Linked DNA regions of Arabidopsis thaliana. The protein of the gene in region 1 interacts with the protein of each later gene in a pairwise test. Each region holds a gene or a part of one and is shown in the gene's direction. Other genes may lie near its edges.

The links.
Region 2: the proteins of RD26 (region 1) and HVA22D interact in a two-hybrid assay, tested with the Arabidopsis thaliana proteins (one large-scale study listed by BioGRID).

The regions. Positions count from the first base shown.
Region 1 is NC_003075.7:13,705,405-13,712,683, reverse strand, and holds RD26 (NAC (No Apical Meristem) domain transcriptional regulator superfamily protein), read left to right. Parts: upstream 1-3,670; coding exon 3,671-3,879; exon of another isoform or gene 3,880-3,937; coding exon 3,938-4,229; intron 4,230-4,312; coding exon 4,313-4,756; 3' UTR 4,757-4,784; downstream 4,785-7,279. Other genes in the region: ABCG9 (ABC-2 type transporter family protein), read left to right, coding at 1-250; AT4G27415 (uncharacterized protein), read right to left, coding at 1,998-2,132; AT4G27400 (Late embryogenesis abundant (LEA) protein-like protein), read right to left, coding at 6,047-6,503, 6,634-6,970, 7,112-7,279. UniProt on the Arabidopsis thaliana protein: Transcription factors that bind specifically to the 5'-CATGTG-3' motif and with bipartite regions with 5'-CGTr-3' and 5'-YACG-3' as cores.
Region 2 is NC_003075.7:12,824,287-12,831,031, forward strand, and holds HVA22D (HVA22 homologue D), read left to right. Parts: upstream 1-3,569; 5' UTR 3,570-3,773; coding exon 3,774-3,820; intron 3,821-3,940; coding exon 3,941-3,967; exon of another isoform or gene 3,968-4,095; coding exon 4,096-4,402; intron 4,403-4,554; coding exon of another isoform or gene 4,555-4,574; intron 4,575-4,669; coding exon 4,670-4,696; coding exon of another isoform or gene 4,697-4,733; 3' UTR 4,734-5,017; downstream 5,018-6,745. Other genes in the region: SAE1A (SUMO-activating enzyme 1A), read left to right, coding at 1-23, 130-325, 403-482, 576-692, 865-915, 1,002-1,068, 1,192-1,295, 1,375-1,479 and 1 more; AT4G24950 (uncharacterized protein), read left to right, coding at 1,996-2,469.

The DNA.
Region 1 (7,279 bases):
GATTAAATACGTATCAATCGGTTACTATACATATAAACTACTGATATTGGGTCAGTACACGGCGAATGAGTTGTATCCATGTGGCGATAATGGGAAATTGAGGTGTCATGTTGGTGACTTTGAAGGTATCAAGCATATAGGGTTTAATAGTGGATTAGTCTCTGCCTTAGCTTTAACTGCGATGCTTGTTGTTTATAGAGTTATAGCTTATATCGCTTTGACGAGGATTGGTAAGACCAAATCTGGCTGATTACTTAGTTATAATCTCCACTTTTTATTTGTTTTTGATTTTAGAACTTTTTTGAGTAATTAAGAACGAATGTATAACAGCAATAAGTTCTTATTGCATTATTGTTTTTTGTTAAATCAATTATAGTTTGAGAGATTGATTTGGTCCGGCTGAAGTGGTCCAAGTTATATCAGAATCTAAGTAGTATAATGTGAAGAACATGTTCTGTGTGTGTATAAAAGGAAAGTTCAAAGCCAAATTCATGTTTGCTTATTGGTATGCGCTCCCAGTCCAACACACTTTACACGTTATCATTCCAGTCTTCATTAATTCGTACATCTAAAGACATTTTTAGCTCACGCGGTTTTATCTGATCACTTTTAAAAAGTCATATTCTGATATAAACCAAAAACCAAATGAAGAAATTGTATTCGAGCTGCTGACGAATTTGTGGTGCATATATAGTAAACGTACTATGGTCTATGGGCTTCCAAGCCTCCTATCCAAATGATATGATCACATAACCCATTATTTGAGATTACTTCAAGCAATAAGTGGTGTTAGGGGAACAATGATTTAACTTGGTTTCCAGACAATACCCTAAAAAATTCAGCCAATTTTTTTTGTAGTTTCTTGCAAAGTAACGTTTTTATGTGTTATAAATAAAATTAAAGAACAAAAAAAACAAGACATCAAGCGTTTGAGAAAACATAAAACTCTAATTTACATAAATGAGATAATAAAATTATTTTAATTTTTCTGTTTAAAGAAAATTAGGAAGAGGACTTAAAAAGTTAATTAATTAGTCGCTGGTACCCATTGCGGCCTTCTTAGTTTCTCATTTTATTTTTAATATATAAACCAGCTGATTGTTTTGTATGTTGTACGCTATTCATCATATATACGAACAAAATAATTATTCAACAATTTCAGAAAACAATTGCAGCTACAGATCGCTATTTTACACTTAGAATTGTCTTCTTAATTAATAACCATTTTCCAATTTATGTTTTTAAGTTCATTTAAAACTATATATATATATATATATATATATATATATATATATATATATATATGTTGAAGTTTGTCATTTTTGGAAGAATTGTGTTGAAGTGGGAACTATTTAAACATTTCATTGGTAAAAAAGGGTCTAAGAATCATCGATCTCTATATAGATTAGGTGCTACCATCTACAAAATTTTAGAAGAGTCTAAAATTCAGAATGGAATAGTCATCACTAAATCAATTATGAGTGTCGAATTAATTATGTAGTCCAGATTTTGCTTATCTACTATAAGTATTGTCGAATTAATTATGTACAAATGTAGAGTGCATATATAGACTATGCATTTAGAAAGCATAATGCCTTTTGTTTTTGTTTTCTCTCTTTTTCTTTTTGGTAAACCTTCGTGATCACCTTATCTCTTTTAAAGCTTTAACCAACATGTAACTTGGCAGAGAAAAACATACTTTAGAAAAGACCATATATAATATACGTTTAGAACTCATTAAATAGAAGTCTACCTATTTATTCTCTAAACAAATATTAAAATGATTTAAACGTCACCAACGATATTTATCGCAAAAGTGGTAAATTTCTGTCAATTAAAATGTATTTTTGAAAAAAAAGTAGAAAAATGTTATTAAAATAAAATAAATTCATTGAAGAATTTTTTGAACAAGTTTAGATTATGGCAATCTGTTCTTTACCTCATTGTCATCAAAACCATATCTCTTAATTTATTTTTTTGTCAGGATCATAAGAGCATTATACGCTAATTGAATAGCGATTGATGAGTTTCTTATCAACACATTTTGCAGTTATGCGAATCGTTGAACCAAACTTGTCGTATCTTTGCTGATATTCAGAAATTATTATCTTACAAAAGAAATGGGTGGGCATGTCCATCTCTCTGTGAACAAGAATTCTCCACGTTCACTAAAATCTAAAAATCCGAAAAGCAATTGAAAACGATTTGTAGAGAATAATAATAATTAAGAACAAAAAAAAAAGAATTATCAAGAAGAAGAAGAATCGAGTTCTTTGAATCGCGTCACATGTTTATATATAAAAAGGCTTCTCTGACCTGTTCAGCATGGTCCAAATATTCACTTGTCAACTTCTTAGGCCATTTCTAGTATTTCTTGAGTGAACGAAACCCTAATTAACCTCTTTTTGTTTAAATATAAACTAAAATATATGAAATAAGTCTTTTATGAGATAATCATTGAAATATATATAAAAATCGAATTTAGTTGTTCTGACAAAACTTGAAATTTATCCTTTAATCAAAAACAAAGAGACTACTTGCTACATTTGTGAGATAATCTTAATGGTATAATACAAACGATCATATATTCTCAAATGTTATTATCTTTAACTAAAAAATATTAAAATCATACTATTAGTGTTCTGTATATACGTGTCTTATGTTAACGTATCTTTTCAATTTATTTTAGTTAGAACTTTGTAGTTTGTACACTTGTTCAATATTTTCTGCTGTTTTTATTATTACTTTTTCTTCTTTTTTGTCTCTTTTGATTCTTTTATATTGAAGTCTTGCCTAACTCTCCCAACACGTGTACAATTCACACGGACGGGAAAATGCATTCCACGCGTGTCTGATTAATACTCTTTTGTTCATAAAAACGTCTTAGTGCCATTTGTTTTACTCAATAGATTTATCTGTCAAATAGTTAGTGCTTCTTCTTTTCTTTTTCTGACTCCAATCTATGTAGTGATCGAGTGCTTCAGGACAAACTAAATATCGAACTGGCCTCTAATTATTTGGAGCATTTTGATACACATCGTTGTTAGGCTTTTGATCAAAATTCTAGAAGAAAGGACAACTGGCTTAACACGTGTCGATAAACTTTAGCTTTTCCTGACGGTTCATGCACCCGAACGGCACCAATATAGTCGAATATAGAAATAATAAAGCTTCATTGCTTTCTCAGTGGAAAAAAACTTACTATAATTAGAATATTTCTAGTAAATATTTAGACATTTTACATGTCACGATGGAATAAGAAAAAATAAATTACTGCAATCACTCAGCGGACTTTTCTCATAATCGTAGTACACAAATTTCTTACTCATGAGAAAATTTTCCTCGTGTTTTTTGCACATTTATATCGCTGGAAAATATTGTACAACACATCGATAAGGTCGGCCAGTTCATAGACGTGGCAGTATCTAAATGGTTAAACGGGTCCACAAAGAAAATCGTAATTAGATTTTAGAACAGTAAGACAAGGACGACCGTACTTATCCTTGAAGAACCTTTGGCTTTTCCGTAGCCTATATAAACCAACTACTTACTATATTGTCCAAAAGATCGACGAACATAAAAACAAAAACATATAATTTGGGTTTTTAGAGTTCGAAACTTGAAATCTTTTTTTTTTTGGTTGCTGAGGAATCGAAGTAGAAGAGTATAAATGGGTGTTAGAGAGAAAGATCCGTTAGCCCAGTTGAGTTTGCCACCAGGTTTTAGATTTTATCCGACAGATGAAGAGCTTCTTGTTCAGTATCTATGTCGGAAAGTTGCAGGCTATCATTTCTCTCTCCAGGTCATCGGAGACATCGATCTCTACAAGTTCGATCCTTGGGATTTGCCAAGTAAGCAAACATGTTTCACATTTGTAGGGTGTTATTTTCAATTGTCATACTTTTGGGTTTAATTTGAGAAAATGTTAAAACTAAAGGGAGTATAATTGTAACTATTTAGGTAAGGCTTTGTTTGGAGAGAAGGAATGGTATTTCTTTAGCCCAAGAGATCGGAAATATCCGAACGGGTCAAGACCCAATAGAGTAGCCGGGTCGGGTTATTGGAAAGCAACGGGTACTGACAAAATTATCACGGCGGATGGTCGTCGTGTCGGGATTAAAAAAGCTCTGGTCTTTTACGCCGGAAAAGCTCCCAAAGGCACTAAAACCAACTGGATTATGCACGAGTATCGCTTAATAGAACATTCTCGTAGCCATGGAAGCTCCAAGGTAAATAAAGACTGAAACTTTCCCAGATCCAAATTCGTTAAAATTGAAATCAAAATCTGATAAAGTTTGCTTCTTTGTTACAGTTGGATGATTGGGTGTTGTGTCGAATTTACAAGAAAACATCTGGATCTCAGAGACAAGCTGTTACTCCTGTTCAAGCTTGTCGTGAAGAGCATAGCACGAATGGGTCGTCATCGTCTTCTTCATCACAGCTTGACGACGTTCTTGATTCGTTCCCGGAGATAAAAGACCAGTCTTTTAATCTTCCTCGGATGAATTCGCTCAGGACGATTCTTAACGGGAACTTTGATTGGGCTAGCTTGGCAGGTCTTAATCCAATTCCAGAGCTAGCTCCGACCAATGGATTACCGAGTTACGGTGGTTACGATGCGTTTCGAGCGGCGGAAGGTGAGGCGGAGAGTGGGCATGTGAATCGGCAGCAGAACTCGAGCGGGTTGACTCAGAGTTTCGGGTACAGCTCGAGTGGGTTTGGTGTTTCGGGTCAAACATTCGAGTTTAGGCAATGAGAGAGATGTGAAGTTACTGATGGGTGAAAAAAGTAAAAAAAAAACTTGGAGATAGTAGAGTGGCAATTGATGTAAATAATAGGGATTTATATGGGGCTTTTACCGATTCGGTGAGGCTTAGGATTCCACAAAGGAAAAAGGCTCGACTGGGGACTAGTTTGATCCAACTTGACGGCCCACAAATGTGTAATGTTTCTCAACGGAGAGAAAAATAAATGGTTACCAATATTTTTACACCGGTTATGTGTTGATACCATTTGCACAAAACGGTTTAAGTTCTGAATTGAATAACTTAACACCCAAAATTTGGTAAAAAGCTTAATACAAAAAGTTCAAAGGCATTTTCGCTTACTGCGACACTCGGAGTTGCAGAGTACTCTACGTAACAGACTCTGTTCATAGAGTTTGCGGCACCGGTGGTGGGACATTCTTGCGGACACAGTATGTACTTTTGGAAGCATCGTTCCTAAGGGTTGCTGCAGTAAACTCCTTGTGACTTGGCTCGCAAGAAACATAACATGGCCGCAAGAAAAAACAGCATTAACGAAGAGGTGTTTGAGATCTTCATGTCTAGTTTATTCTTCCTGTTTTATTATGTGTCGACTGGTGTCAAAAGAAACGTGTTGATTGTGAATTTGTAGACGCCACTCTGTAAATTTATTTAAAATAAACTATTTTACTTCACGTTGAGATCGGGAGTTGCCGGGTTTGTGTGCCTTATCTGGGCATCACCCACACATGCATTAAGTTGAAATGTATATGACTTTAAAAACTTGAAACTTCAAAAATAAAGAAAAAGTCTTTAGAAGTTACGTCCACACGAGCGTGATCCACACTTATCGGTCCTTATATTAGGAGCATTGTAACTTGCTGCAATAAGCTGCTCATTTTATTAATTTGACTTTTGGAAATCTTAAAACAACAAAAGTACATTGTATATATTAATAGCCGGATCCAAGAGTGTGATGCTTAACATCTTTTGATGTCTTAATTAAGTTGGGTTTTGAAGTCAGTGTTCAAATAGAAGATAACCTTTTTATCAATTTACGCTAGGCTCTAAATGATTACTGCGTATTTGGAGCACAACAAAAATATAATGGTTTTCTTAAGGATTAGATAATCTGGTACATGTAAATAACTGAGTTACAATTACTTTCTTTAGAATTTGGTTCTTAATTACCTTATTCCTCTGTTTTATTTTGACAAACATATAAATTTTATACGTACACAAAACATAACAATATACTTTTAATATCTGTAATTCTTAGCAAACTGAGTTTGTATTGGTAACTACTTTCTGCAGACGAGTCCATAGCCGGAAGACGCACCACGGCTGCAATCTAACAATGCGTATGTACTTTTGGGCTTGACAGAGCCACTCGCAACGGCGGGATCTTCAGAGAACAAACAAGTTTTGCAAACATGAGAGAGCAGAGAAGATGTCCTAAAGCTATCTTCACCTCCCACCACTGGCATTACGACTCCTGGTTTAGCCGGATTCTTAAAATCGGGTCTATAAGTGCGTCCCAAGATTCCATCGACTTTTGGGGACAGATTAATAAACTTGAACTGGACCTCAAAATGGGCAAAACAGTCATCTACAGGTAATTTGTAGTTGTGGATTCTATCATCTTCTTTGGTCACTGGAACCACGTTGACCATGATCTCAGCTTTGTCTTTGATAGTCACGATCACACTGTTCTTCTCTGTCAACCTTTCAATCTTGATGTCTTTGTCGGATGAGTACCTGATAATATGCATTAAAATAATGAGTGTTTACATGAAAATCTAAACGAATAGACAAAGATGACGTTTAAAAGTTGAAACAATCGCAACCTACAAAAATGATAGGGTAAAATTTGAGTTTCTATGATTACCAAGTGGATAAAGTTTCTTGAGGGATAATTAAATCTTGGCCGTCGATAGTGAACTTGAGGTGATCAAGGTTGCTGTCCCAAGTGGCGACTTTGGTGGTCTCAAGGGAGAATTTGTGGGAGTTAAAGAGGAAGCCGAGAGCTTGGATCCATGTAAAGTCTCTAGTGCGGCCAGCAGGTCTATGACCAGTGAACCTAGCATTGATCTGAAAGTCAGGGTCCGAGACAATGCTAAAATGTTCATTGCTCTTTCCATGGAAGTAGAACACAATTCCATCACCACCTATGAACCTCGGATCTAGACAAATTGATCCATAGGATTCGCAGTTGGGTTTTACCGCTACAAAAGATCATATCCAAATCTTAAAACATATTTTCAAAATCTAAAATTAATCAAAATGATGAAATTCTATTAATTCTAATTTTAAACTGCATTGGTATATCATCAATTACAAAAAGAAATTGGTGGTTAAATAATTACCCCGACACACGGCCTCGCAAAGGGGTTTAAAGCAATCAACCCAACAAATTTTGTTCTGAGAGTTGGGGAACATTTCGGTAGGGCACTCTTCAGGACAGTCGATGTACCGGAGCTGGCATCGGGGAGTCGCATTGCCACCACAATAAGTCTGACCATGCCAAGCCTTGA
Region 2 (6,745 bases), 880 kb from region 1:
GAATTAAGGGGACTGTTGCTGAGGTAGCTGTAACTCTATAATTCATGCTGAGATGTCATGCTTTTCAATTAGTTTAATCTAATGGTATCTTACTGCATTTCCTGGCTTTGTTTCCATTTGGTGGGTTAGTTTTGCAAGAACATTGTGCTGGCAGGAGTTGGTTCAGTGACTTTAATGGATGATCGTTTAGCAAACATGGAGGCCTTGAACGCTAACTTTTTGATTCCGCCTGATGAAAATGTTTACAGTGGCAAAACTGTGGCTGAGATTTGTAGTGATTCACTCAAGGATTTCAACCCTATGGTCCGTGTTTCCGTAGAGAAAGGTTTCCCTCTAATACCTCTCCGTTAATGTTTTAAAAACATACCGACTATTATCTGATCAATTTTTCAAATCTTTCAGGTGATTTGTCAATGCTTGGCACTGATTTTTTTGAGCAGTTTGATGTCGTAGTTATAGGCTATGGTTCTCGTGCTACCAAAGTATTTATACCACCTTTTACATATTTACCACTTGCTTTCATCTTTAGTTGCTCCATACATCTCTTCATGACGTTGTCTGTTTATTTTTTGCAGAAATATGTCAATGAAAAATGTCGGAAGTTAAAGAAACGTGTCGCATTCTATACAGTCGATTGTAGAGACTCATGTGGTGAAATCTTTGTGGACCTCCAAGATTACAAGTACACAAAGGTACTTGCATGATTTGTTGTTGCATTTCTTCTGTTGATTATGTGCTGTTTTGACATTTCATCTGGCTTATTTTTAAATTTCTATAATTCCATTGAACATTTAAACTTCATTAACAACTTCTAATTTGCACAATGTCCTTTGTATTGTTTTCCTGATAATTTTCTTTCCACAGAAAAAGCTTGAAGAGATGGTGGAATGCGAACTAAATTTTCCAAGTTTTCAGGTACAATTTAACACTAGTTCTCGCTACTAATAATCCTTACATCTGCATAGGATTTTGTGATAAATTAGATTTGTTTATTGCCACAGGAAGCTATATCGGTACCATGGAAACCGATTCCTCGGAGAACAGCAAAGCTCTACTTTGCTATGAGAGGTAGTTACTAGTTACTACAGCTGATTTCTTTATTACTTTCCACAAATGAAAATTGAGATCCCAAGGCAGATACATACAACAAAAATTCTTCACTAATCTTTGGCATTCTCATGAAATTTTCAGTAATAGAAGTGTTTGAAGAGAGTGAAGGGCGTAAACATGGAGAATGTTCGCTACTCGATCTTGCCAGAGTCTTGGAAATCAAAAAGCAACTCTGTGAGGCAAACGTAAGTGTGTTTAGTTGTTTTATCATTATTTAGAAATGTCACTGCCAGGTTCACTGAATAACTGAATATTGTCTCTCAGTCTGTGAGCGAGAGCCATATACCAGATATTCTCTTGGAGAGACTTATCACTGGTACTACTGAATTCCCGCCAGTTTGTGCCATTGTGGGAGGAATATTAGCACAGGTTCTCTCTCTCTCACTTTCACTCTCTTATCGCATTCGAATCTTCTCACTAGAAACTTGTAATTTGACAAGAAAGATTTTTTGATGTGGCAGGAGGTGATCAAAGCAGTATCAGGCAAAGGAGACCCGTTGAAAAACTTCTTCTACTATGATGGTGAAGATGGGAAAGGTGTGATGGAAGACATTTCCGACTCTTTTACCTCTTAAACAACCAGTGGGCCTTGATTTAGTTTAAACTCTATAATCTCTGAGATTCCATGTATATCTCAATCGTTTGTTTTTTGCCTTCACATTATGAACAAATTTAATGCAGAATTTAGTGGAGGATCAGTTGTGATTTTCCTTCGGTAAAATCATTTTCAGTTATTGACATTTGAATTGTTCAATTTCAAATTTCAAATATTATAATTCAATTCAAAGACTAGCTAAGTTTTTAAAAGTAATTAGTGAGAGATCTCACAGTGATATAAACCACATTCATTTTAATTCATAGCAAAGTAAATGGTAAGAAATGAAAATGGAAGAAAGAGAGGAGAGTAGTTCACACGAACATCTGAAGGAGAAGTTGAGAGAGCTTGAGGAGGAATGGACAGCCATGAAAACAGGTAAAAACTCATCTGCGGTTTCATGGATTACCGTGGAAGATGCTCTTGAGTATGTCGAAAACTCTCCCAGAAACCTAATGCTCTCTCTCCAACACAAACCAAAGGCAGAGATGATACAAGAAATATCGCCATTAAGGAGAAAACTCTTTCACGACTCTGATGATGATGATCAAACTAAGAAGACGACATTGCTTTCTCATTCATCTTGTTGGTCTTCGAATGTGACGAGTTCGAGTGATACCACGAAAGCAAAGAAGAAGACAACGATTAGAAGATTTGTTTCTGTTACAATGGTGCTGCTTTTGTCATGGGTTTTAGTTGTGTTGATGAACCACTTTGATCATCTCTCCATGAATACACAAATCATTACTTTGGTTCCTACTTGATATTTTTATTTATTTTGGTTTGAGAATGTTCATCAATCTCAATAAATAAAAAAAGTTTAGTTTTGTATTATTACCTCTCGCCTTCTCTTTTAATTCATTGAACCTCTTCAACTTTGGCTGTAACTATGTTGGTTAAAACAGTATAAGTAATGTATGTATTTATGGTTTTAGGAAAATCTTACAAAATAATACTCTATCATTGGATGAAGAAGCAAAAACTACACCCCTCTACATCTTTTCTATTCATAAACTTTTTTGGGGAAAGAACTACATTGGTGGTGATTAGGTGCATCGGTGACACTAATGTTGAAAATATGTTTTGTGTAAAATTAGTATGGTTAAAGCTAATCATTTAGTTGAGCAAAAAAAGATGCTAATCATTTAAATAGAAAATGGACTCAAACAAAAGAAGGCCACACATTCAATTGTTACATCTTTATTGGGTTTTCATTTTTGGAAGCTATTTTTATGAATTTGCAGTGTTTTGTTGCCCAAAAGAAAAAAAGCATAATTCCAAGTATATCTTTCATTTTGAATCCATCAGTCATATGTTTTACTTGAATCAACTATTTGTTGGGTTTTACGAAGTTACTTGTTAAGAAGATTCAAAATATATATAATTAGACTATCAAAGGAACAAAAGAATGTAATTGGGTCATAACTTTTTCCGAAGCTTACGTGACTTGGGAGAAAATCAAACCCATTAGTTTCACCCTTAATCAAACTAATCACAAATTTTGAACTTTGCAAAGAAGGTAAAATAATAATCAGCAAAAAGATTAATAAAATGACAAAAGTATCTCTTTAAAAGATTAATAAAGAAATAAAGAAATGACATAAGCTCTCACCGACCGACGTCTTGTCTTTTTTATTCTTAAGGTCGGTGCCATGTCGACGCCTTCAAGCTTAGAATCTCGCCACGTGTGGGATAAACTAACCGAACCCAATCGAACCAGACAGACCAAAGACAGACCAGACCGGACTAGTTGTATGTCGGCATCAGCGTTCTAGTACGACGTTAATTAAAAAAATAAAAATAAAATATTATTTATGATATTCCACCAATAAGAGCCAATGAAAAGTGTGTGAACCAACCAACTTCTGTAGCAAACCGTACCATTTCTCTCTTAGATACCTTTACCTTCCTTCTATAAATTAGGTTCTTCCTTTCACATTTCTTTGTCTTCTTCTTCTACATAAAATTGATTCGCCTCGAAATTTACACAGACTTGTCGCTCTCTCTTTCTCTCTTATTTCACAGAGCCCCTAAACATTTCCAAAAATCTTGCAAAGGAAGAAAAACAATGGACAAATTTTGGACTTTCCTCACTGCTCTTCATTCAGGCGCTGGGTAATTATTCTTAATCTTAATTTTCCTTCCATTATGTTTCCAAAATTAGTTACTTTTTGATTTCCTCTGTTTCGATTTCTAATCCAAACCGTAATCGATTTGTTGGTAATGTATATGCAGGCCTATCGTGATGTTACTTTATCCATTGTAAGTTTCTCTCTTGTTAAACCCTTTAACAAAAGAAAAAGTTTCTTTCTGGTTCGATCTCTCTACTTTTTGTTGAAGATTAAAAACAAAAATCTGTGAATATTTACTAATTATGTTTTTGATTACAGGTACGCATCGGTGATAGCAATGGAGAGCACAACAAAAGTGGACGATGAACAGTGGCTTGCGTATTGGATAATATATTCGTTCCTCTCACTCACGGAACTGATTCTGCAATCGCTTATTGAGTGGATTCCGATTTGGTATACGGTGAAACTTGTGTTCGTGGCTTGGCTAGTTCTTCCTCAGTTTCAAGGCGCAGCTTTTATCTACAACCGTGTTGTTAGAGAACAGTTCAAGAAACACGGCGTCCTCCGCTCCACCCACTCCAAGCCCACCAAGCCCAACATCCTCCACTCCATTTTCCCCCACCGGGTAAATTTTTTATCTTTTTGGTTTTGAGATTCATAAAGCAAAAAAAAAAAGTAAAAGTAACCATTAGTTTTAGTATTCTTTGGTGGGTCAAAGAACGAATCTTTGTTTATAAAGATTAATAATGCATTGAATATAGTCCTAGGAAACGTAAGAGTGTGCCTAATTCTCTAACGTAGCGACCATGAGCGTATAACAAGTGTTTTGTATACTTTTGTTAATTCTTTAATTCGTTTTTAAATTAATTGTGAATTTTAAAATGTGATATAGGAGGGACACGAGGCTCACAGTCACTGAATCAGAAGGGTGGAGCAGACAGAAGAAGCCTGACTAGTATTATTGTAATGGTCTTGGTGGTGGTCCCATCATGTCCCTGTCTAATCTACTTTTTACTTTATTTTTATTTATCACAAAAAATGGGTTTAGGAATGTTGATGATGATGACTGATGAGGTGTGTAATCGTTTTTAAATTAGAAAATGGCTTCTTCTGCTTGTATGATTGTATCGCTAATCTTCCACGCGTATTTCTTTAATGTCAACGCTAATAATTTCCAATTGTGTCCCTTCTTGAACTTATCATACATATTTTGATGACGCAAATATCTCACCGAATCAAACCCATAACAGTATATCCCTTTTTTTGGGGCCTAAAACCAAAATTGAAGTGAGGCTTACAGAGTTAGAACGCAATTTAAACCAGTGACTAATGTTTTGATTGGTTCTCCCTCTGCCACCTGCAAACGCTGCGTTTGCGGGTGGTAGCGGTTGTTAGCGTTTGACACTAATCATAGAAACCGCTAGATACCGTTTTGGACCGCTTGAAATCGCCAGATTTCAAAAGCTTCTTCCCGTAAGCGTTTGCGGTTGCGGGCGGTAGCGGTTAGGTTAATTTTTTTTTTTAATTAATTAAAATAATTATATCTTCCATCCAAACCCTATATATTTTATTCTTATCAGAAAACCCTAATCAATATATTGAAACCCTATTTTCTCAATTATGGCATCTACCCAAACTAACGAAAATCAAAATCAAAATCAAAAATCAAACGTAAGTATGATCTATCCTTTCATCCATTCATTAGCTAGTGTAATTCTCTGAGTATTTCATGGCATCGTCATTTTTTTTATTTTGTATTTTTTTGAGTTTTTTTATTGAATATATGTTTTGATTTGTTTTCTCGATTAGAAAATTATTTGGTCAGACGAGATGACCCGTTTCTTGTTAGAACTTTATCATATGTATAGAGGCAATCCGGAAAATCCACGAGTTCAACGTTATTTACAGTTTATTACACTACTTGATGCAATTTTTGGTGATGTACCAAATGCATAAAGTACTAAGCTTTTTCTTACAAAATTTATTTATTTTTGAATTTAATGTTTTATTTATGGTTTTAATTATTAAGCATGTTTAATTTTCTAATATTATCAATTTATCATAATAATATATTGTATTTTTTCTTTTAAAATTAATATATTATATTTATTTTGGTTATTTTTTATTTAATTACTATCGCACTCGCTGATTTACCAGTCATAAAACTTCCGTAAACGCACCCATTATCAAACGCTCAACCAGTCGTTCAAAACGCTTGATAATGCTTGAAACCGCAACCGCCTGTTTCCGCAAACTCCCGCAACCGCAACCGCAATTGATTAATGATTTATGTTACACGGTTTTGAAGCAAGCATGAATTATATCACATGTATAATATTCTTACACATACTCTTAGATTGAAGTAAAGAACTAGTACCAATCAATTCCTCTAAGAGAAACCTAAGTTAGCTATACAATGGAACACACAAGGCCAACTTCAATTATGCATTTTAAGTTTTTAACCAAACCACACACGCAAAAAAACTTAAAGATCAGACTAACACAATTCACTGTTATTAGCTACACAACTTGAGAAGAAGAAACAGAGTGAACAAACAATGGACTAACGAATGAAGTATACAATTAAAACAAGAGATCTAACTCGAACAGAAGTTTCTTTACCATTTGTCAGCTTTTCCACAGCTAATGTTTATCCCAAAAGACAAGAAACTGAAAAACTTCAACAGACAATGAAAGAGAAGATTCGTTAGGGTTTTATTTTGTCTATGGGCCGTCTATTGTGTGATCCATAAGAATTAGTTGTGTAAAATCAATTATAATTGAGCTTACAATTTAAACGGTCCATCTTCTCAACTAACATAATAATTTAAAAAAAAAACTAGAAAAGCCTCTCAAGTCTTAAGTCAACTTTGTTCCTCCTTCTCTGAAGAGATATATAATACTCTTTTTTTCTTTCCCAATATTTTTCGATTTCTTCATCATTCATTCGCGCAAACATTCCAAAAGT